2 linked regions of the Mytilus edulis genome follow. The protein of the gene in region 1 purifies or fractionates together with the protein of each later gene. This does not show direct contact. Links are inferred from orthologs where the notes say so. Each region holds a gene or a part of one and is shown on either strand. Other genes may lie near its edges. The genes, in order: leucine-zipper-like transcriptional regulator 1 and ras-like protein rasD.

What was found.
Region 2: the proteins of leucine-zipper-like transcriptional regulator 1 (region 1) and ras-like protein rasD purify together in Homo sapiens (affinity purification with mass spectrometry; 3 studies listed by BioGRID and IntAct, counting the BioPlex papers as one, with this or other methods). This does not show direct contact. The link is inferred for Mytilus edulis from reciprocal best matches to the Homo sapiens genes LZTR1 and RIT1.

Annotation. Positions count from the first base shown.
Region 1 is NC_092349.1:70,502,464-70,515,020, forward strand, and holds the start of leucine-zipper-like transcriptional regulator 1, read right to left. Parts: upstream 5,620-12,557; 5' UTR 5,503-5,619; exon of another isoform or gene 5,475-5,502; intron 1-5,474. Other genes in the region: cytochrome P450 4A25-like, read left to right, coding at 5,745-5,909, 8,144-8,291. UniProt on the Homo sapiens protein: Substrate-specific adapter of a BCR (BTB-CUL3-RBX1) E3 ubiquitin-protein ligase complex that mediates ubiquitination of Ras (K-Ras/KRAS, N-Ras/NRAS and H-Ras/HRAS).
Region 2 is NC_092347.1:47,981,270-47,993,029, reverse strand, and holds the start of ras-like protein rasD, read right to left. Parts: upstream 5,859-11,760; 5' UTR 5,731-5,858; coding exon 5,643-5,730; intron 642-5,642; coding exon 585-641; intron 1-584.

The sequences.
Region 1 (12,557 bases):
TGAAGAGTCACAGCTTTGAAAACTACTTGAAGTAGTTCCCACTCCGTGTTTACTGGAGCAAGGGATCTTGATAGAGTGTCGGCTAGAATATTGAGGTGCCCCGCAATATGTCTCACCACTAGATGAACCTGGAGTTGAAAACACAGAAGGAGAATGTCTCTGGCTATCTGATAAAGAGAAGGTGAATGAGTTCCTCCCTGATTCTTGAGATAAGCTACAACTGTTGTGTTGTCCGTGGCCAGAATGACAGACTGATTCTTTAGAGACATTTGGAAATGATTCAGTGCAAACAGAACTGCTTTCATTTCCAATACATTGATATGCTCTTCCAAAAGATCTGGACTCCAGACTCCCGAGATTGTAAGCCCCTCCAGATATGCTCCCCAAACGAGGGTGGAGGCATCTGTGAATAATGTTAGACTGGGAACTTGAGGGGACAGACATAGGCCCCTCATTACATTTTCCCGTACTAACCACCATTGAAGGTGTGGAAATAAAGGCTGAGTGATTGGAATCAATGCTTCCCATTCTTGTGAAGCTGCAATCCATAACTTGTGCAGATAAAACTGAAGCGGACGAATGTGAAGTCGTCCCAATGGAATTACATCTGCCAGAGAGTTCAATAGACCCAGAAGTTGCAAGAATTGACGTGCTGTGACTGATTGAACCGTCAGGAATAAATGTATTTTCTGACATAGTTTTGTAAATTTCTCCTCTGGTGGGAGGACTAGGCCTACACTGGTAAGGAAATGTTCTCCCAGGAAAACAAAGTCTTGAGACGGAATTATCTCTGACTTTTTCCAAGAGATAAGAAAGCCTAGGGACAGAAAACAATTGATGACCAAGTCTGTCTGAACCCTCAATTTGATTGGGCAAAATTCCTTGAGAAGGGAATCGTCCAGATAGGAATGAATCTGAATAGACAGGGAATGTAGGTGAGCTATAGCTGCCTGCATGATTTTGGTAAAAGCCAAAGGGGCTGTAGACAGGCCAAAAGGGAGAGCCTTGAACTGGAAAACTTTGTTGTTCCAAACGAAGCGAAGGTATTTCCTGTAAGTTTTGGAAATGGGAATGTGGAAATACGCGTCTGAAAGATCCAGAGAAGTAGTCCACATTCCTGGAAGGATTGAAACCCTGATAAATCTGTTTGTTTCCATTTTGAAGGGGGGAACAATAAGAAATTTGTTCAGAATAGATAGGTCTATGACTGGCCTCATTCCTCCAGTCTTCTTTGGAACCAGAAAAAGACGGGAATAAAATCCCGGAGACAGAGTTAAGATCGACACCTCCTCTATTGCAGCTTTTTGTAACATAGTGTCCACTTCTACTGATAGAAGTTGACACTTGACTGGGTCTTGTGTATGAGACAAACTTATTGGAACTGCAGATAGAGGAGGTGGGTTCTTGAACTGAAGTGTTAATCCCCCTCGAATTATTGACAGCACATAACAGTCTGAGGTAATTTTCTTCCACTGATTTAGGAAAAAACTTAACCTCCCCCCTACTGGTATTGATTTTTGAGGAACTTGTTGTAAATTTTCCCCTGGGGAAGCTGTCAATAACGTACGAGGGGGCAAGAACCTAGGTACTAGACCCAGGTTTCTTGGAACCCTTAAAACCACCAGAAGGCTTACCTGAGCTTTTTCCTGAGTTATTGGGTTTGTTCTGCGGTTTGCCGTAGTTATTCTTCCTTTTCTTAGCAGAAGAAGGAGGACCACCTGAAGCAGAAGTACTATTAGAACTAGAGGTAGCATTAACCGACCTCTTGCCATTAGTAACTTGTACACTAACTTTGACTGGAGGAGGGTTTTTGCTGAGTTCCTCTTGAACCCGCTGTAAGGGTAAACCAAACATCTTGTCAGAGAGTGGAGATTTCAGTAAAGAATCTTTCAAAGGCTCAGCGATAGAAATGTTTTCAAGAAACTCTGCTCTTTTAGATAGGGTGCAATTAGCAATAGAACCCATTAAAAGCAACTGAGATGAACCTAAAGCTTTATCCAGTTGAAGTAAGAAGGATCGTACTTCTGCTGGAACAACCGAATCTTCGCTGTTAAGCAAATGTCCGGTTGCAGCTAGAAAATGTTCGGCTGTGCCAAGAACTTGAGAAGCACTACGAAGGAGATTCTCAGTCTTTGACCAAACAGGTTGAGTGAGACGAAGACCATCTACTGGCTTTTTTCCCAATAAAGATGACATAGATTTGTCACAACTGGGAACAAGTCTACCCAGTGAAGAATCAAAGATATCAAAATCCTTGTACTTAACCTGATCAGAAAAGGATGACATTCCAAATCCTGAGATATTGTTATTAGTAACCTTTTCACTAGCAGAATTAGCGATACCTTCATTAATAAATTGTAAAGCAAAAGTCATATGGCCAGATTCAGGAAAAGAATTGTGAGAAGTCACAGTATCCTGAGAAATACCACAGGAAGCTTCAAAAGTTGAAGAAGGTTTCTTCGGCTTGGAAGGAGAGAGAAAAGGGATATGTGCTTCATCCCTCATCAAGGTATACACCTTATCCCTTAGATCCTTCAAGGAAGGAGGATCCTCAGTCTCCTTGGTGGGAGGTTGTTGAGCTGACTTAGAAGAAGGCTCAGGGGCCGTCTTCGATACCTTGGGAGAAGAAGAACTTTCAACATCCTCATCAGTGAGGAAAGCCCTTTCATGACTCCCAGGGGAAACAGAAAGCTCGTCATCCTCACTCTCATCACATTCTACAGACTTAGCTGGAGAAGGTTGATGAGAAGAAACTCTATTTTCCAGTAGAGTCATACGACTGGATAGAGTACTAAATTCAGCCTTGAAAGACTCACCAAAGTCTAAAAGTAACTTCTGTAAACCATCCAAAGGTGATGCATGATCAGAAACCTGAGTACCATGAGAAGAACTAGAAGCTTGAGAGTCAGGTACGGTGGTAGAAGGAGCTACTGCAGAAGTCAAAGATACTGCTACGGGTAGAGCAGGAGCTAAAGGTGGTGCAGTAGCTACCCCAGAAGGGGGACCATAGAAATTGTCCCTATAAGGCCAAAAACCAGGTTGGTTTGGCATAAACCCACCATAAGGGTAAGACTGTGGCCAAGGTGGCTGAGACCATGAGGGTAAAGGTTGTGTGCCCGTGTTGGGAAGCATATACCCACAATAGGATAATGGGGGTCTAGAACCTGGCAAGTTCAAGCCCATAGCTGTACCTGGGACAGAACTAATAGTACCCGCTGAATTAACAGACCTAGATAAAGTATGAGTCACCGAAGTTGACGTAGGTACCCCCCCAAAATGCATGGCCGAACCTTGTGAAAGGGTCGGATAGGTAGCATTACCAGACACCGTTGTCGAAACTCCGGTCAATGTACTGGTAGTTTGGGGGGGACTTAAAGGTAGTGACCCATCTAAGAGATAGTCCGAACCAGGAATACTTACATACGGACTATTCAAATTAAAGTCCATAATAAATTTTACTTTAGTCAAAAACACAAATAATTTGTTTAGAAATTTAAACAAAACAAGGGAATATATTTCCAATAAAATACACAATATATATGAAAAGCAATTAAGCTATTCAAAAAACTAAACACTTCTCTGTTGAATCTGTAAAACTTGATGTGCACGTGTGACCGATGTCGCAGATGGAAATTGAATGGAAGAATATGGGCAAACCATTTCAAACAGGGGTATATGTCCGGACCAGTGAGAGTATGTTTATTTTTAGTTGGGATTTTCCATCTGACCTATGACGCAATTGGGGTTACACTCAGAATTTATGATGGTAACGTATTTATAGCTATAAAATCATTAACTTTTTTTTTCTTGTTTGCATGAGACTTTGAATAAAATATATATTTATCAGTCTACATGGTCTAGTAAAATATAAGATTGGAACTCAATACAAATTCATTTTTAATAATTGTTTGATATGAAAAAAACGTTACTTGATGAAAGCGTTTCTTTTGTCTACTTTGAATATGATGTCATAACTTAAAGAACGTCACAGCTAAATCCCTAACAACAGAACCAAAATCGGGAATGTTTCAGTATTTCCGTTTCTTTTATCAATATGTTTGAATAAAAAAAATAATGTATACAGACTTTGTCCCCATTCACAGGTTATGCCTGCCTCATTGTAATAGATGTGCTTTGATCATGTTGATGTGCCTGATTAATTCCCTTAATTTGGACAGATTAATTATTTAGTATTTAAATGTTTATTTTAAGTTAAATTTGATTTAAAAATAGTATGATAAAAGTAAAGAATGTTAATTCTACTGTTTTAGTATTTAACTTTTGATGTTTTTATAATGTTTTAAGAATATATTTATTCAACTTTTCTTCAGTACCTTTTCTGTTAAAGTTAGCCTGATTAATGACAAGTTTAGAATATCATTTGATATTCAGTCGGAGTCTGCCTTACACAGGCCTCCAAATACTCGACGGACTGTATCAGTCTACTTGAGTCTAGAGTTAGTCACCTCGTCAGTGCAGTTCGCCAGAGTTAATCACCCCTTTTTGGTGCAATTTCACTACTTTAAATACACAACACGAAGCTATTTTAATTTACGTTTAAGACTAACTCTCGGAACACTTTATTTTCATTTTACATTTGATATTACTCTATTTTTGAACTCCATTGACTTTGTTTAATACATGCAATACATATTTTCGAACATCCTGGCACTTTTAATTTCTAGGAGGTGAAATTCTCTGAATTTTACCTCAAACTCTATGGGAAAAAACAATTTTTAGTTCCAATTTAAAACCAAATGGTAAAAGATATCACAAAGATTTTTAAAACACATGTCTAATATGATAAGGAGATTTGAAAAAACGATCTTAAATTTAATTTTAATGATTCAACAAAAATTAAATTGAGTTTTAAGTTTGTGTACCTATATATGGTAAAACCCGAGGATTTGCCACCGCTTCAACTCCTATATTCAAATAGATAAACACAATCTAATTATCTGATTGGTCAATCTTCAGCTGTGATGCAAGCATGAAATTATGTATTATTGTACATTTGTGAATAAACTATAGTTTCATTTGATTTTTTGTCTGCTGTTCAGCCATTATCTGATATCAGGTATCACGCTGGTCGAATAGGGGCAAAGTACAGGCCACTACACGTCCCGGGAGGTGTCGTCACCAAACCCCTCCGTTACACTCATATTAAATATTGATAATTGTATTGAATACATATTTACTTTCTTTATATATATGATTGTAAATCGTTTTTCTGTCTGGAGTTTAATTTGAAGTACCCCATACACTGTATCCAGAACCACTCCCTGTACACAACAGAAATACTACTACAGGTCCCAATTTGACTAAGTGCAGAATTGACTATAACTGGTGCCGATTTGACTATGAGTCGAAGTGACTAAAACAGTAGAAATCCATGTTTTGTGTGCATTTTGTCTCTTTTTAGAACTTTTTCCTGTTTGAAAATTATTTATTGAACTGAAAAAAAAAACGTGTACCGTCTGTTATCATTTACTGATCTCATACCATAAATTCCATTTGTCTTCTCGTTTTTTATCAATTCATCTACATTTTAACGGCATTTTCTGGTTTTCGAGGCCCTAATTTTTATTCTTTCATGTGTTTACAAAATGACCGGAAGTGTTGATCGGAACTCCTCGTTCCTGAGCTATCCGAAAGCACTCATGTGCTGTTTGTTTACTTTTTGATCACTGTTGATAGCAGATTAGAAATGGATTGATGACCCAAACTATTAATTGACAGTCAAAATGGCGATAGTTTTCACGTTGATAGTGTCATCCGTCATTTTGTTTTCTATTTACTACTTGGCTACTAAGTTTTCAGAATGGTTTTTGTGGACATCAAAAAGAAACAAAATGATAGAAAGTTTTCCAGGAAGACCGGCTCATTTGATTTGGGGAAACCTGAAAGAAGTTTGTAACTTATTAAGTAGTAATAAACTTGATGAAAATTTGCCATTGCAATGATTTTTCTGATCAGATACCTATATCTATACATTAATTTATACTTATTCCTAGCATTTTTACACTAGGCATGCTAGGCAGAGGGGCGTCATGTAGTCCAAATAATTATGACGTCTTGAAAGGCTAGCTATTATAATTTTTTCTTTGACGCCTTGCGTCAAAGAAAAAATTATAATAGCCTTTCAAGACGTCATAATTATTTGGACTAGGCGTCATGCAGTTACCTCCGCTGCGTAACAAATGAAGGACCTTTGTAAAGACATGGGAATTGAGCCATTTTATTTTGCAAGAATTCTGGAATAGCAATTTAAATCGTACAGAATTTAGAATTTATTTATATCTTGATGTGGGAATGGACACATTATTTAAGGGCATACGATTCAGTTACAGGGGAGGTAATGTAAATTGTTATTTTTGCGACGTCAAACTATGACTTATCGGGAAAAGATTCTGTTTTTGACTGATTTTTATCATTCAAACTTATTTAACTTGAAAACGAGTTACGCATGGACCCCTCTTTTTTAAAATGCCATTTGGTTTGATTACGTAAGAAGATTGGGTGTGCCAATTTTCGTCGATAGTGCAATTATTTTAAATTTGATAAATATACATAAAAAAATGATGTTTTTTTCTACATTTGTGAACATTTGATAAATATGAGTGACTTAAAAAAAAAAAATGCACAAATTTAAAGGATGTTTATATAAGATAATTTGACAAAAAACAGCTTGTGTTTATCTTTTAAAACAAAAAAAGTTATGTATTTCTGTCAAAGGAAAAATACGTTCACAAATCCTTTTGAGCAAATATATAAAATTTAGACCTCATTTTACTCAAAAAGTAGCACATGAACTTCAGGTTTATTTTTTATTACATATTTGATTTAATCAGGCAAAAAATAGCTGATATGCAAATTTTCAGCAAAATTTCAATATTTGATCAAAACTGTATCGTATACTCTTAAGTGGAATATGGGATTTAATTTTATGAGGATGTTTTTTTGTCACACCATTACCTCTTAAATTATTAAAAATTACCTACAAAACCACAAAATTAAAGAAATATCAGTAAAATCTTCAGAGAAAGTTGAACAAAAATTATTTCATGGGCAACATATTGTTCTTAAGAATATTGATGAAAGATTATAAATGAATTCAACAGAGATAATCATATATCAATGTATATCATGTATATCTTTCTTAAATAGAGAGATGTTTTTCTAAAACAGCAATCTCCAACCTCTTCATTAATCAATTTACTGGTAAATTTGAAAGATGAATAAGATGAACAAACCAACACTAAATATGCTAAAGGTACATGTACTAAAAAAGTACACCCTGGAAATACTTCTTACCAAACATTTGTATACATTGTACCTCATAGGATAACACATCAACATGCCAATGTATTGTCTGTCTGGTTTACTGTGAGATTTTGGTTTGATCCATTACCTGATTAGCATGATTAGATCAAAGACTTGAAACTAAGTATTTTCTTCTCTTTTGACCAGCATTTGGCATCAATGATTAATAGCAAGTCTTTTTGGTCGTCGAGTCAAAATTCTATATTTGTCCTAGTAGAGTGATATGTCTTCCTTCCAGCTGTAACGGTGAATTTTAAACCTTGTAAACTAGTATGATAATAATCTTGTTCATGACATGTGTGTCAGCCTAGCACATCTCATATTTTATCAACATGTTCTCATTCAATAATGCATGAAATATTTGCAACTGGACTTTAGACCAATTGATGAAAAACAAACTTACAATATGGATGATTAAAATTGCTAGTGTAAACATGATTCTCATGAACATGTTAAAATCATCTGAAGTCTTTTTTTTTTCTTTCCAATGATAGTCCAAATTTTCAGTTTATAGTTAATTGTCCCATATTCAACTGAACATGTGCCTGAATAATTATTTGATTCAACTACATGTATGTCGTACAAACATTTAGTACATGCACATATATATTCTATTGAGCTTAAATTATCATATTTTAGTATCCAGGTCCGAACGAGGCAGGTTTGCAGTGGACTAAAGAATGGGTGGCAGAATTTCCATGGGCATCTAGATTTTGGCTTGGACCATTTATTCCACTGATCTGTATATATCATCCTGATACAACTAAATTAGTTCTAAAATCTTCGGGTAAATATTACTAAATTTACTATCTATTTATAGTTCCCAGGTATTAACGATGAAGGGCTCAAGTTCCAGAGAGAACAGACTGGATTATTTCCAAAAGTGTCTCGTGGTTGGTTAGGACCCTTTTTGCCAATGCTATTTGTATACCATCCAGAAACTACCAAAATTGTCTTGAAATCATCAGGTATGTTTCAATCCTTCTAGTGAATAAATTCCCAGTGGCTGTCCAATTTCACTGCCTTTTTAGCTCACCTGGCCCGAAGGGCCAAGTGAGCTTTTCCCATCACTTTGCGTCCGGCGTCCGTCGTCGTCCGTCGTCCATCGTCCGTCGTCGTTAACTTTTACAAAAATCTTCTCCTCTGAAACTGCTGGGCCAAATTGAACCAAACTTGGCCACAATCATCATTGGGGTATCTAGTTTAAAAAATGTGTGGCGTGACCCGGTCAACCAACCAAGATGGCCGCCACGGCTAAAAATAGAACATAGGGGTAAAATGCAGTTTTTGGCTTATAACTCAAAAACCAAAGCATCTAGAGGAAATCTGACATGGGGGTAAATATGTTTATCAGGTCAAGATCTATCTGCCCTGAAATTTTCAGATGAATCGGTCAACCCGTTGTTGGGTTGCTGCCCCTGAATTGGTCATTTTGAGGAAATTTTGCTGTTTTGGGTTATTATCTTGAATATTATTATAGATAGAGATAAACTGTAAACAGCAATAATGTTCGGCAAAGTTAGATTTACAAATAAGTCAACATGACCGAAATGGTCAGTTGACCCCTTTAGGAGTTATTGCCCTTTATAGTCAATTTTTAACCATTTTTCATAAATATAAGTAATCTTTTACAAAAATCTTCTCCTCTGAAACTACTGGGCCAAATTATTCCAAACTTGGCCACAATCATCTTTGGGGTATCTAGTTTAAAAAATGTGTGGCGTGACCCGGTCAACCAACCAAGATGGCCGCCACGGCTAAAAATAGAACATAGGGGTAAAATGCAGTTTTTGGCTTATTACTCAAAAACCAAAGCATTTAGAGGAAATCTGATGGGGTGAAAATGTTTATCAGGTCAAGATCTATCTGCCCTGAAATTTTCAGATGAATCGGTCAACCTGTTGTTGGGTTGCTGCCCCTGAATTGGTAATTTTGAGGAAATTTTTGCCGTTTTTGGTTATTATCTTGAATATTATTATAGATAGAGATAAACTGTATAAGCAATAATGTTCAGCAAAGTTAGATTTACAAATAAGTCAACATGACCAAAATGGTCAGTTGACCCCTTAAGGAGTTATTGCCCTTTATAGTCAATTTTTAACCATTTTTCATAAATCTAAGTAATCTTTTACAAAAATCTTCTCCTCTGAAACTAATGGGTCAAATTAATCCAAAGTTGGCCACAATCATCTTTGGGGTATCTAGTTTAAAAAATGTGTGGCGTGACCCGGTCAACCAACCAAGATGGCCGCCACGGCTAAAAATAGAACATAGGGGTAAAATGCAGTTTTTGGCTTATAACTCAAAAACCAAAACATTTAGAGGAAATCTGACATGGAGTAAAAATGTTTATCAGGTCAAGATCTATTTGCCCTGAAATTTTCAGATGAATCGGTCAACCCGTTGTTGGGTTGCTGCCCCTGAATTGGTAATTTTGAGGAAATTTTTGCCGTTTTTGGTTATTATCTTGAATATTATTATAGATAGAGATAAACTGTATAAGCAATAATGTTCAGCAAAGTTAGATTTACAAATAAGTCAACATGACCAAAATGGTCAGTTGACCCCTTAAGGAGTTATTGCCCTTTATAGTCAATTTTTAACCATTTTTCATAAATCTAAGTAATCTTTTACAAAAATCTTCTCCTCTGAAACTAATGGGTCAAATTAATCCAAAGTTGGCCACAATCATCTTTGGGGTATCTAGTTTAAAAAATGTGTGGCGTGACCCGGTCAACCAACCAAGATGGCCGCCACGGCTAAAAATAGAACATAGGGGTAAAATGCAGTTTTTGGCTTATAACTCAAAAACCAAAACATTTAGAGGAAATCTGACATGGAGTAAAAATGTTTATCAGGTCAAGATCTATTTGCCCTGAAATTTTCAGATGAATCGGTCAACCTGTTGTTGGGTTGCTGCCCCTGAATTGGTAATTTTGAGGAAATTTTTGCCGTTTTTGGTTATTATCTTGAATATTATTATAGATAGAGATAAACTGTAAACAGCAATAATGTTCATCAAAATAAGATTTACAAATAAGTCAACATGACCGAAATGGTCAGTTGACCCCTTTAGGAGTTATTGCCCTTTATAGTCAATTTTTAACCATTTTTCGTAAATCTTAGTTATCTTTTACAAAAATCTTCTCCTGTGAAACTACTGGGCCAAATTAATTCAAACTTGGCCACAATCATCTTTGAGGTACCTTGTTTGAAAAATGTGTCCGATGACCTGGCCATCCAACCAAGATGGCCACCACGGCTAAAAATAGAACAGGGGTAAAATGTAGTTTTTTGCTTACAACTCTGAAACCCAAATTATTTAGAGGAAATCTGACAAGGAGTTAAATTGTTAATCAAGTCAATATATATCTGCCCTGAAATATTCAAATGAATTGGACAACCGGTTGTTGGGTTGCTGCCCTCCAATTGGTAATTTTTAAAGAAATTTTGCTGTTTTTGGTTATTATCTTGAATACTATTATAGATAGCGATAAACTGTAAACAGCAATAATGTTCATCAAAGTAAGATCTACAAATAAGTCCACATGACCTAAATGGTCAATTGACCCCTTAAGGAGTTATTGCCCTTTATAGTCAATTTTTAACAATTTTCATTAATTTGGTAAATTTATGTAAATTTTTACCAAATATTTTTCTCTGTTACTAATGGGCAAAGTTCATTATAGATATAATTGTAAGAAGCAAGAATGTTCAGTAAAGTAAGAACTTCAAACACATCACCATCACCAAAATACAATTTTGTCATGAATCCATTTGTGTCCTTTGTTTAATATGCACATAGACCAAGGTGAGCGACACAGGCTCTTTAGAGCCTCTAGTTCCCCTGTCTACCCAAACCCATACTTATCATGCTTATAGAACCTTATCTATTGGGTTAATTACAAACTATAAAAAGACAACAACATCTACTAGTCTTCACTTCCTTTATTTATTATATTTATTGATCATTTGTTCTTGCTTATACATGCATGTAATATTTGCCACTGGACAAACAATAATTTAATCAATGTTACTCATGAAACACTTTAACATATTAACAACACACATCAGCAAAAGATGTGGTATTGGTAAAAGTCTGTCCTTGAATAAAAATGATTTACCTGTTACCAATTGCAGTTAGGGATCATGTGATGCATGAAAAAAAGTATGGCGGTCAATCATCAAGGTGACAGCAAGCATGCAATCAAAGATGCATTTTTATGTTTGTTAAGTAAAGTAATTAACAAAAAATACCATATGTTTTTTAGCTCACCTGGCCCGAAGGGCCAAGTGAGCTTTTCCCATCACTTTGCGTCCGGCGTCCGTCGTCGTCGTCCGTCGTCTGTCGTCCGTCGTCGTCCGTCGTCGTTAACTTTTACAAAAATCTTCTCCTCTGTAACTACTGGGCCAAATTGAACCAAACTTGGCCACAATCATCATTGGGGTATCTAGTTTAAAAAATGTGTGGCGTGACCCGGTCAACCAACCAAGATGGCCGCCACGGCTAAAAATAGAACATAGGGGTAAAATGCAGTTTTTGGCTTATAACTCAAAAACCAAAGCATTTAGAGGAAATCTGACCTGGGGTAATTATGTTTATCAGGTCAAGATCTATCTGCCCTGAAATTTTCAGATGAATCGGTCAACCCGTTGTTGGGTTCCTGCCCCTGAATTGGTAATTTTGAGGAAATTTTGCTGTTTTTGGTTATTATCTTGAATATTATTATAGATAGAGATAAACTGTAAACAGCAATAATGTTTGGCAAAGTTAGATTTACAAATAAGTCAACATGACCGAAATGGTCAGTTGATCCCTTTAGGAGTTATTGCCCTTTATAGTCAATTTTTAACCATTTTTCATAAATCTAAGTAATCTTTTACAAAAATCTTCTCCTCTGAAACTACTGGGCCAAATTAATCCAAACTTGGCCACAATCATCTTTGGGGTATCTAGTTTAAAAAATGTGTGACGTGACCCGGTCAACCAACCAAGATGGCCGCCACGGCTAAAAATAGAACATAGGGGTAAAATGCAGGTTTTGGCTTATAACTAAAAAACCAAAGCATTTAGAGGAAATCTGATGTGGGGTAAAAATGTTTATCAGGTCAAGATCTATCTGCCCTGAAATTTTCAGATGAATCGGTCAACCTGTTGTTGGGTTGCTGCCCCTGAATTGGTAATTTTGAGGAAATTTTGCCGTTTTTGGTTATTATCTTGAATATTATTATAG
Region 2 (11,760 bases), on another chromosome or scaffold:
TTTTTTGTTAGATTTGTTGTTTTTTTCTTGTTACATATGTAGCATGTAAAATTCAAATTACAATAAAGATGAGAAAATAAGACATTTGTGATTTCTAATTATATAAACATGATGAATACAACTATTTTTTTATTCACTTAAACATGATGAATACGACTATTTTTTTATATTCACTTAAACATGATGAATACAACTATTTTTTTATTCACTTAAACATGATGAATACGACTATTTTTTTATTCACTTAAACATGATGAATACATCTATTTTTTTATCCACTTTATCAGACCTGACAACTTTCCTAATTTTTGGGGAATATTATCCATATGAGAAGTGTTGAACTTGACTTGAATTTTGAAATTCATTATCATATAAACTGAACACCTTAAAAAAGGCATCCAAATTAGCTAAAAGGTTATTTAAACATTATATAAAACATATGTATAATCATTCAAACAATATACTTATAATCTAAGAACACTCAAGACAATATAAGAAGAGGATTTGTTTCTCTTGAGCTTAAAATCACCCATGGAAATTTTTAAAAGATGGCAGCTGGTGTGCAAAATATACTATGTATTTACCTATCGTTGGATCATGGTAGTCAAGAAATCTGTGGTATACAAACTGTATCACAAGAGCTGAAAGCAGAACAAAATTATTTTTTATCAAACATCTTGCATAATACTCAACAAGGTGTTTGAATTTTTCTGAAAAAAAAAAATCATTTGCCAATCAACGTCTTTTGTATAGTTTGGGGAAGATGAAGATAAGCATGGTAGAATCACACACATTTTAATTTTTTTTCAATGTTTAGAATTCAAATCGTTAAATTCTACATACATTGAACATAATCAATATAAATATTAATGTCAAAGAAACATTATGTCATTAAGACAGCTAAAAGCTAGATGTATAGGTTGTGACTCCTTTTTATACTACTAAAACTCCACCACTTTTACTATAAAGCTTCGTAAAAAATTATATCTTAGAATATTAATGGATAAACATTTTATATGCCCAGAGATTTTAAGAGTTTAAACTTATACTAAAATTCTGTACTGAGTCCTTTTCATTTTTTGTCTGCCACAGATTTCAATATGACTGCTATTTATGTATATTTATACTGGTAACATTCCCAAGTTATGCCTCTGCTAGAATACATGTAGATGAAACAAAGAGATCATATCTGGGAAGCAGCTTAGACAAAATATCTATGAATACATTGGTATTATATATCTCCCAAAAGGAGGCATGGTTAATGTTTGTGAAACAGATGTATTTACAATGTGCAACCAAGGCAATAGAAACTTGTGATCAGGACTGATGATATACAAAGTTTTTTTTATTTGATGCATGTACATTTGTAGCTGCAGTTCAAAGAGCTTTTGATAAATAAAATATGTATAGTTACAGAATGACTTATTGTGTATATGATCAGATGATGTATATCTATCTATCTGAGTAGGCTTTATTTGTAACACAGAAGATTTAATTAATATGCTGTTTTAGGTGTATGTCAATAAGGAAACTTTTATCAATGATCCGGATTCAGGAAGATGAAACATTGATTTATTCTATTTTTTTAATATCTTCTTTTGTCAAAACGTACAACTGTAGAGGTAACAGGTTAATAAAAAAATCAGATGATTGCTGTATGAACATGTTGAAGTATTCTTAATATTATTTATAATATTAGTTTGATAGGGAATTTAAAATGGTTTTAATTATAACAATAAACCACTTGTTGTTTTAACTATTATCATGTAGTCATGGTATTTTTTGTTTTTGTAATTTATTATCAAAATAAGTTAAAAGCTGGGTCCTTTTGAAGTGCACGCCAACCAGGGGCGTTATGGGGAATCCCCCCCCCCCCCCCCAAGATTTGTTTTTTTGGCTAGACGCTAAAGGGTGCGTTCTGAGGGCCTAAATTGGTTTGAATAGCAAATTATTAGGACTGTATTTGATCATTTTTATTTAGAAACATCCTGAATAATTTTCAAAAATCTGCCCTTCGCATTTATAGCTGCAACAACGCATTTATAGCTGCAACAAAAACGTCCATTCTAAATTGACCTCAAAATCACGGTGGATGTGCATAAAACCCAAAGCAGGTAATCTGTGATTTCTCAACAGGTATTGTATCAATAGACAGATACAATGCGGGGTTAACTATATCAAGCGTTTGACACAGTGATGTTGGCACTTTATCACTAGGTAGGATTCGACAGCGAGCTCTCTAGTGTTCAACCTCTCTCTTGTAGTCTTCTAAAGACAACCTGATATATATCTATCAGGTATGTCTGATGAATTGTGACAATTTGGTCATTATTTATTTGTCAGACTATACACACGGAAGAAGATACTGTGCATGAAAATGGTTTTCTGAATTCAGAAGTCGAGAATGAAGTTCCGTCATCCGATATGATCCAGAAACGGATAGAGGAGTAGAGAGAAATTCGCCAGTAATCCTTAGGTGTTTCGGCTGGATGGCTAGCTCTCGAGGTTTGTCTTCAACACCGCCTAGGAACATTTTCAACTATATCAAAAGCCTCTGCTATATCTAGAGCGATTTGGTATAGCTCGTTCCAAACACTCATTATCATCATTTCGCTCGGAACACAACATTTCAGTAACAACTAGTACTGCGGAATCAGATGAGGTCTTGAAAGGCTATTTTATTTTATTTTTAATGCATTGAGGCCTTATTTCGACAGGAAGGTGTCAAAACAGAACAGTATGAAGTAGCCTTTCAACACAATGATTTAAAGAGGGAATTCAGATTAATATTTACCATTATCGTAATTTACATATAAAAGAGGGGCGAAATATACCAAAAGGACAGTCAAACTCATATAAAGGTTATTGTAATTCGTTAAATTGTTCAGGGTTGGATCCAAAGTTGAGAGATAAAAATGAAACAAACGTCAATTGGTCATTTTTTGCCAAAATTGGATTTACAACCCCTGCAGTCCTGTTAGTTCAACGGCGTGAACTACATTTTTTTTTATTGATTATACCTTGTCGGAAATTTGAAGGTGTGGACATCTTTCCATTTGTCAGTCAAAAGTTGTTAAACTTTACATTTTTTCCTAATGATTTTGAATCTTTCAATAAAGAAATATCTGGATTAAAGAAGGTCCCAGATTTTTTTGTACTGGCTTTGACATTGACACTGATGTGGCTCTTATGCTACCGGTTCATCGTAAACCTTGGACGTTTCAGAGTCTATATTGTCCTGATTTGTTGCTAGTTGTGTTTCTGCATGCCTATCACCGTTGGTACTGTTAGTAGGCATTTTGGTTAAAAAATTGTCTAAAGTTTGCCCTTTCGGCTGGTCACGCTTTGAACTGCTCATGTTTACGCTGCTTTTTTACTTTGAGTACCAGAAAAAAAATTCTCACAAATAAATTAAAAAGTATTTTGGTCAGGGTTGATATATACGGAAATATTATTGTGACGTTATTAAAATAGTTATACTGTATTGTTGTCTACGTTTCTTGTTTAAGTTAAATTTTATATTTTTTTGTAATTTTCGGCGTAAATTATTTTTTTAGACCCCACGATGTGCACGTCATGGCGTGACAGCGTATATGGAGCTACGCCCCAGAAAAGTCTTATATTAAACAAAGAAGCCATTTTATCACAGATTAGGATAACAAATTAAATTATTGTCATTTAAATTTTAAAAAATTGTTGGTTTCTTTTTGCATTCTCTAGAGCACACTCTGAAATGTCTCGCTTTCTTTACTTATCATTGCTAATATGTTGATAGTCCTAAATATAAAGCTTTACTACAACTTTCACATAAACTTTACATGATCCAAGAAAATGAGGTCAAGGTTATAAATACTAAACAAGTCATACAAACATTGACTAATGAACCATGTTATTAAAGTCAAGGTCAGATAAACCATGCCACACCGAATATATATACTAGACACATTGCTTATAGTATCTGAGATATGGACTTGATCACCAAAACTCAACCTTGTTCAATGATCCATGAAATGAAGTTGAGGTCAAGTGTAAACTGTCTGAAGGGCATGGAGACTTTGCAAGGTACATTTATGCACATACCAAATATAGTTATCCTATCACTTGTAATTATAAGAGAGAAATTAACTTTACAAAATAATCATAATTTTTTTTTCAAGTACATGTAGTCACTGAACCATGAAAATGAGGTCAAGGACAATGGACATGTTACAGACGGAAACTATGTAACATGAGGCATCTATATATACAAAGTATGAAGCATCCTGGTCTTCCAATATAAAATATTAAGCTTTAAAGAAGTTAGCTAACGCCACCGCTGGATCACTATCCCTATGTAGAGTTTTCTGCAACAAAAATCGCAGGCTCGACAACAAATTAAGCTGGCACCAATTTCGTAGTTTACTAGCAATGTACAATGGTCATGCAATTGAAGTTCAATCCTTGATAATATAATGTTCACTGTCATTTATATTATTTTGTATTTTGGCATAGTTTATGAAACAGTTTTCATTGGAACTTATTATGGGTGACAAATACATTGAAGGTTAACATATTGAATGGGCGAAAATATCTTTAAAAAAATATGAAATATAACAGTTTTACTATAAATGTACATGTACATGCTATACCAGGTGCCAATATGACAATGATATTCAGTATTGCCAGGTGTCAAAGTGACTTGAATTCATCTAGGACTACTCTTTTTCTATGTCTTCCAAATACAGGAGTAGACGCCTATGTAGGAGTGTAAAAAGTTAATATACTTGGATTTATTTTTTCTATACAAGCTAGCCTGGTTTCCAACTCAGTAAAATTAAAATTACCTTAGGGAGCTACCATTTGATTTTTATGGGGGGGCTAGGATGAAAAATTTTGTCCTGCATTTTTTTAGCTGTAATCTCTGTCCTGCCTTTTTATTTTTCACTCTGTTTGGTCCTGCCTTTTTTTTTTAGTTTATCCTGACTTTTTTTTACCTAAATTGTTGTCCTGACTTTATTTTTTGCAAGTGTCTCATCTTGCCTTTTTTTTTACTCAAAACTCCTGTCCTGCCTATTTTTTTCAAATTTCATCCTATCCCCCCATAAAAATCAAATGATAGCTCCCTTAGAGAAGTGGAAACAGCCTTTTTTGTAGTCAACATAATAATGTCGTCTGGCAAGGCTATTTTAATTTTTTTCTGGGACGCTGTAGGAAGGCGTCCAAGAAAAAAAATAAAATAGCCTTGCCAGACCTCATAATTATTTGGACTACCTTTTTTTAATGTAAATTAACATGATCAAGGATTTATTTGTATTACTATACAAATTCTTGACATAATTAACCCAAACTTTTGGATAGTTTTCTCTGTAATTCAGCAATTCTTGCAAACTAGGACCAATATATATTGTAAATCTAATACAAATTAGTTCCAGTTGCAAACAGATATTAGAATGTTAGAATTTTTCACCAATTTGTAGTGGACTTAAATCATCATTTATTTGTGAAAACTAAAAAATAAACAAAAGGCTGAAAAAATGGTCACAGAAAAATATTTAAAATATTTCACATTCCAAACCGTGTCACGTGTGAATCAGTGTCAACTGTCATGGGAAATTACATTTACAATGATAATTAGTTTTAAAGTTTGTCATCTGGTTCCTTACCACTTTTCCCGATTCCACCATCGCCTAAAATGACAATTTTATATTCCCTCGGTTTAGAATTGTCACCGTGGTGATTACTTGAATTCATATTTCCATTTTACTTGTCCTTATAGTTTACATTTTCTATGTTATGCTCCGTTTCCTTATTAAATATATTTATACCCAAATATACAATCTATAAATAGTAACTTTTATCTTCTTAAGGTGCGTGTTCGGTGATTGGTTGAAAGTTTGTTTGACGTAATTTCGGTCCAGACATGCTTTATTTCGCCACTAAATTTATATGATTCTTTCGGCCTTTTTCTTCAAATTTCCGTACTGAATCACAACTTTGACTATTACGTGGCATTGCATCCGCGACTTATGTACAATTAAAAAGAAGTATTTTTTCAGTAATATTACGTAAAATTACTGAACAGAAAGAAATAAATATATTTCAGTTATTTTTTTTTATATTTTTTGTGGATAATCCGATTGTTATCCTGTGTATATTTATATATGCAGTGTTTAGAAAATTTGTGAAACAGCAAATATAAAAATCTGCTCTTTGAAATCGTCAACCGTTGAACAAATGATCAATGATTATAACAGTAAGACCTCAAAAGATCATTGTCGGATAAAAAACTTAACTTAAAATTGCTGCAAGTTTTGTTTATCGGAAAGTTTATCCAACATGAAGAGCCGTGGTGCAGTGATTAATTCATCGGACTACTAACACAAAGTTTCCTGGTTCGATTCCCGTCTGGGATGAAAATCAAGTTCAGGGACTGGATTTTCGGCTCTCCCTTGACACCATTTGCGAGTATGGTCTTGAGGAAACAATGATAGTCCGTCGGAAGGAGACGAAAATGACTGACCCGTGTTAAGAGAGAGCCATATCTCTTGCACGTTAAAGACACCCTTGTAGATTTCGAAAAAGAGTAGGCTAATGCTGCTACAAGGCAGCATTCCGGCACCCGCAAAGTGGAAAGGGATGGATATTAGTTGCAAAACTTGTTTCCCAATCCATTATAAATAAATATGTTTAAACTAACACTGATTTCGATCTAACCCTTCTTGATTAATGAATTTTTCACAAATTAAGTTAAGAGGGTTGGGGGTCAGTAAAAACCAATATGATTTTTTTTTATCATAAGTGATTTGTTCTGCTGTTTGATGTGATTAGAAGATCGTTATGAAATATTGCTAAATATTGGTGTATTATTCATAGAAAAAGCATCTAGTCTTGCATGTATTCGTTTCATTTGTAGTGTATCTAATCCTCGATCTAATCAAATGTCTATATTCCGATTTAAAGGGTCCATATAAATCAGTACACACCACAAAGCTCATATAATATCCATACTTACAACACACACAATCTAACCTAGGAACAGTATAATATATATGTTCCTGATCTAACATTCATACTGATTGAGTTTGTTTTCGATTGAAAATGATAAAGCATGATAAAAACATATAATTGAGGAGAGAGAGGACCAGTACAAAGAGGGATAACTCTATTTGTTTACCTTAACTTGTGTCTCATCTGGAAATTAAAACTGTATAAAAAAAATCTGTAAATCTTCATTTGTCATTATTCAGATAAAAAAGAACTTCTTAATTTATGTTGCTCAGATTTGGAAACTAGTGTATGCCGTCATTGTATATGTTTAAGCATATTTGAGACAGATCGAGCTGGTATTGCGGTATGTTACCATGTGTAGCTGGCAGCTCCTCGTTAGACCATCTCAATCTGATTGGTTTAATTGGTTGTGCTGTGATGGCCCAGGCACAAGAGCTGTACTCCATTTCAGGTCTAACTGACGACTAGAATGTCCTTTCGTTTATTTTTTGGAAGATACATTTATGTTACGTTTTTTGAAAATTTAGCTGTCGTTTTGCATTTGCTTATATCATGATCTACATGGTTTTTTTTCCATTTAAGATCTGATTGAATGGTTATGCATAATATTTTTATACTAGTATCAGTTTGAAAAAAGTGACCATGAAGAATGTAGTCATTGTTGACTTGTTTCTCTTTTTTTTGTATGTAATTCTTAGAAACTGAATGGAGGATAATTTATCTGGATGGAACGATATTAACTGAGTGTTTTCCCATTTTGCTATTGCATCTATAAGTCCTGTTGTAATTTGGATGCATACTATTTGTTTTGATGTTTCTATAGGTGTTGCTGTCATCGGCAAATAACTTTAAAGTGCTATGTTGTAAGTATTCTGGGAAGTCGTTAATGAAGATAAGGATTTAAATTGTGCCAAGGAAAGTGCCCTGTGTTATTAAAGATCTTGCCCTTTTTTCTCTGATCGTTCTTCATCTTGCGTGTCTGTCTTTGTACGTTGATGTAAAAACAATCACAAACCCTTTCCAAGGTATTATGGTCTATGGCGTAAAATCGTAATTATGCAGTTACCTTTTGTTAGGGATTTTGTCAAAAGCTTTGGAAAAGTCCATCACAGACATTAGTTATAATATGTTGTCATTGTTGTCTTCTCCATGCAAGATCGTGTATAAAAGATATAATTGTGTCTCACGTGAGAGTTGAGATCAAAAGCCGCGTTGAAGGTCGTATAATATATTGGTTTTTTTTTCTCTTAAGGTGTTTCATGTTTGACTTTACTCCACTATTTTGCAAAGTATATATTGACCTGTATTTTATGGTATTGTGTTCGTTTTTAATACAGGAATAACTTATTTTTATGTTTTCAGTCTGTAGTTATTCTATGTGTGTTGATTGACTTTGAAAGATGATTGTGATAATCCTTTAAAATATATCCACATACTAAGTTCACCAATGCCAATGGCTCAGTTTATTTGGGTTAATGTTGTATAGGAATTTGTTGACGCTCTTTTCTGATATTAAAGTTTTATCCATTTGTGCATGTGTTGATATATACTAGTATTGGGTTGTCAGTGGTGAATGCTTTTGGGAATTGCTCGCCGAGCGCATGTCTGTCTGCAATGTTTTTTCATACATGAAGTGTGTGTATTTATTTGCAGTTGTTGATTTTTCTTTAATTCTTAATGCAGACGTTTTGTTTTCTTTTAAATTTGATTCTTAGTTGGTCTGTGATCCAAGGCAATTTCTTTTTTTTTTATGTTATTTGTTTTTGACCTATAAGCACTGATGGTGTTTATAAACTCATTGGTTTTACTTTTACCATAAATTATTTTGATCGTTTCTTTTAGTAGTTGGATGTCTTAATGCTTTCCCAGTTTGCTTTATGAATTGGTGGACTTTTCTTGTTGCTCTTTTATTTTTTTTTAGTGATATTGTACATTCAGTGATTACGATGTCCCAATAGGTGGCATTACCTCCAATTTATTTTTTATGTGTGGGGCAATTTTTAAGATAAGATCTATAGTATTCTTTCACCTCTTGTTGGTTTGTCTACTACATGACCAAAAGAGTTGTCATTTGTTATGTCAGTATGAATATGATATTTCTTTAATATCTGGGTTTCCGCGGTGCAATGGCACTTATATTATTTCTGTTTTTGCTTAAAGTGGGTTCAGTCGTTTGAGTTGCAATTTAGAAGATATTTTGTTAACAAAACACAACACAACATAGAAAAATAAAGTCTGAGAACGTTAACCACCAAACAAAACCCGGAGGTGATTTCATGTGATACAGAAGGGAAAAACAGATCCTGTTCAACATGCAAAACCCGTACGTCGTGTATTTCCTATAGAATAGATTAATAAGTCAAATCAAGTCATTAAAAATCACACAAAATCGGATTGGAAATTGGCTCTTATTTAACTACAAAAGAGGGACGATACCAGGGAGAGTAAGAGTCAAACTCATAGGTAGAAAATAAACTGACAACGCCATGGCTAAAAAAAAGACAAATAGACAAATAATAGTACAGAAGACACAACATAGAAAACTAAAGGCTAAGCAACACGACCCCATCAAAAACTGGGGGGGGGGGGGGGATATCAGGTGCTCCGGAAGAGCAAGCAGATACTGCTACACATGTGGCATGACAGGGAGGCTATGATGATTGTTGTTGGATATTGGAGGCAGTGATGGTGGCAGTTTGGAGAGAAACGTACGCCAAATAAGGAGAAAATGGAACGTATCCATCATGGCAACAGTAACTGTTGACAGATTGGGAAAATAAATTCCCGTTGTCACCATATGCAGATTAAAATGATAAAATTATCAATATTAAGTTATACAAAACTGATTACAACAATCAATGTCACAGTGACCTTGGACTTAAATGAGATATAGATCATCGGTATAAAGACATCATTCGTAAATATAGCTCAACATGCAGACTTCTAATACGTTCAGGTATTTCACATCCAATTTTTTATGGAAATATTCTTTATAAAGCACAAAGGTGTCAGTATTCACCTCAGAAACTTACAAAACCTTTGAATAGACTTATTAAGAAGGGATATAATTACGATACTGTTGTCAAGTCATTAAAGATTGCATATTTTGGCGTTAATATTGAGTCACTGATAAGGTCTTTGCATCGGAACTAAACACATTTATTCTAAAAACAGTTGCTGGCATGACACGGGTTATGTTCTTCTCATATATGTTATGATGGTATGATACTAAACCCCTAAGGATTGTGCCTGATGTTCATATGATGAAATCATAATCTTTCAGTCAGTTTAATTGAAGTCTGGAGCTGGCATGTCAGTTAACTGCTACGTAGTCTGTTGTTATTTATGTATTATTGTCATTTTGTTTATTTTCTTTGGTTACATCTTCTGACATCAGACTCGGACTTCTCTTGAACTGAATTTTAATGTGCGTATTGTTATGCGTTTACTTTTCTACATTTGTTAGAGGTATAGGGGGAGGGTTGAGATCTCACAAACATGTTTAACCCCGCCGCATTTTTGCGCCTGTCCCAAGTCAGGAGCCTCTGGCCTTTGTTAGTCTTGTGTTATTTTAATTTTAGTTTCTTGTGTACAATTTGGAAATTAGTATGGCGTTCATTATCACTGGACTAGTTTATATTTGTTTAGGGGCCAGCTGAAGGACGCTTCCGGGTGCGGGAATTTCTCGCTACATTGAAGACCTGTTGTTGACTCTCTGCTGTTGTTTTTTTATTTGGTCGGGTTGTTGTCTCTTTGACACATTCCCCATTTCCATTCTCAATTTTATGTATTTCATTTGTATATTCAGGAAACTCTGGATTGTTAGCAGAGACTTTTTCGTAAAACATCTGCATGTAGGTAGTGTTGCAAATACCCGCGAACAATTGTTGCCCGTAACTATTTATGACGTGAAGCAGTAATGAAAGAAATCTTCAAAATAGAGAGGCGAACAATACCAAGGAGACATTCAAACTCATAAATAGAAAATAAACTGAAAACGCCATGGCTGAAAAAGAAAACGACCAACAGACCAACAATAGTACACAAAACACAACATATAAAACTAACCGAGCAACACGAATAATAGGATAGTTCGTCCCTATCGAAAAGAATACAAATTGCTTGACGGTGTACTCTCCAAATCAAATATAAATATTATCAAGAAAAAAAACAAATAAAAATCACTAAAGATATAAGGGTTAAAAAGTATATATGCTTATGTATGATCAGCACTTTTTCCCTTAATAACAAGAATGTGTCCATAGTAGTCAGATGCCCCATCCGCATTATCATTTTCTATGTTCAGTGGCCCGTGAAAGTGGGATAAAAACTCTGATTTAGCAATATCATAGCATAGGTGTACTAAGTTACAGGTTGATTGGACTTCAACTTCATCAAAAACTATCTCGACCAAAAAACTTGATTCTGAAGCGAAACAGAGGGACGAACGAACAGACCAGGAAACATAACGCCCATAAATGGGGCATAAAAATAATTGTTACATCTACAACTGATACATTAAAAATAAAATTAATCGAAAGAACAATCTATTGAATACGAAAAAAATGTTTATTAAAAATGGAAGTGTAATATTCAAAGAAACGAAAGCAAAACAGTCTAAGAAAACCAATATTTAACAATTTTGATTCAGATATTACCACTATCAACATAATCAGCTTTATTCGTATTTGTGTTTAGTATAGATGTGGTATGATTGCAAAAAGTTATAAAAGGTACCAGGATTATATTTTAGTACGCCAGACGCGCATTTCG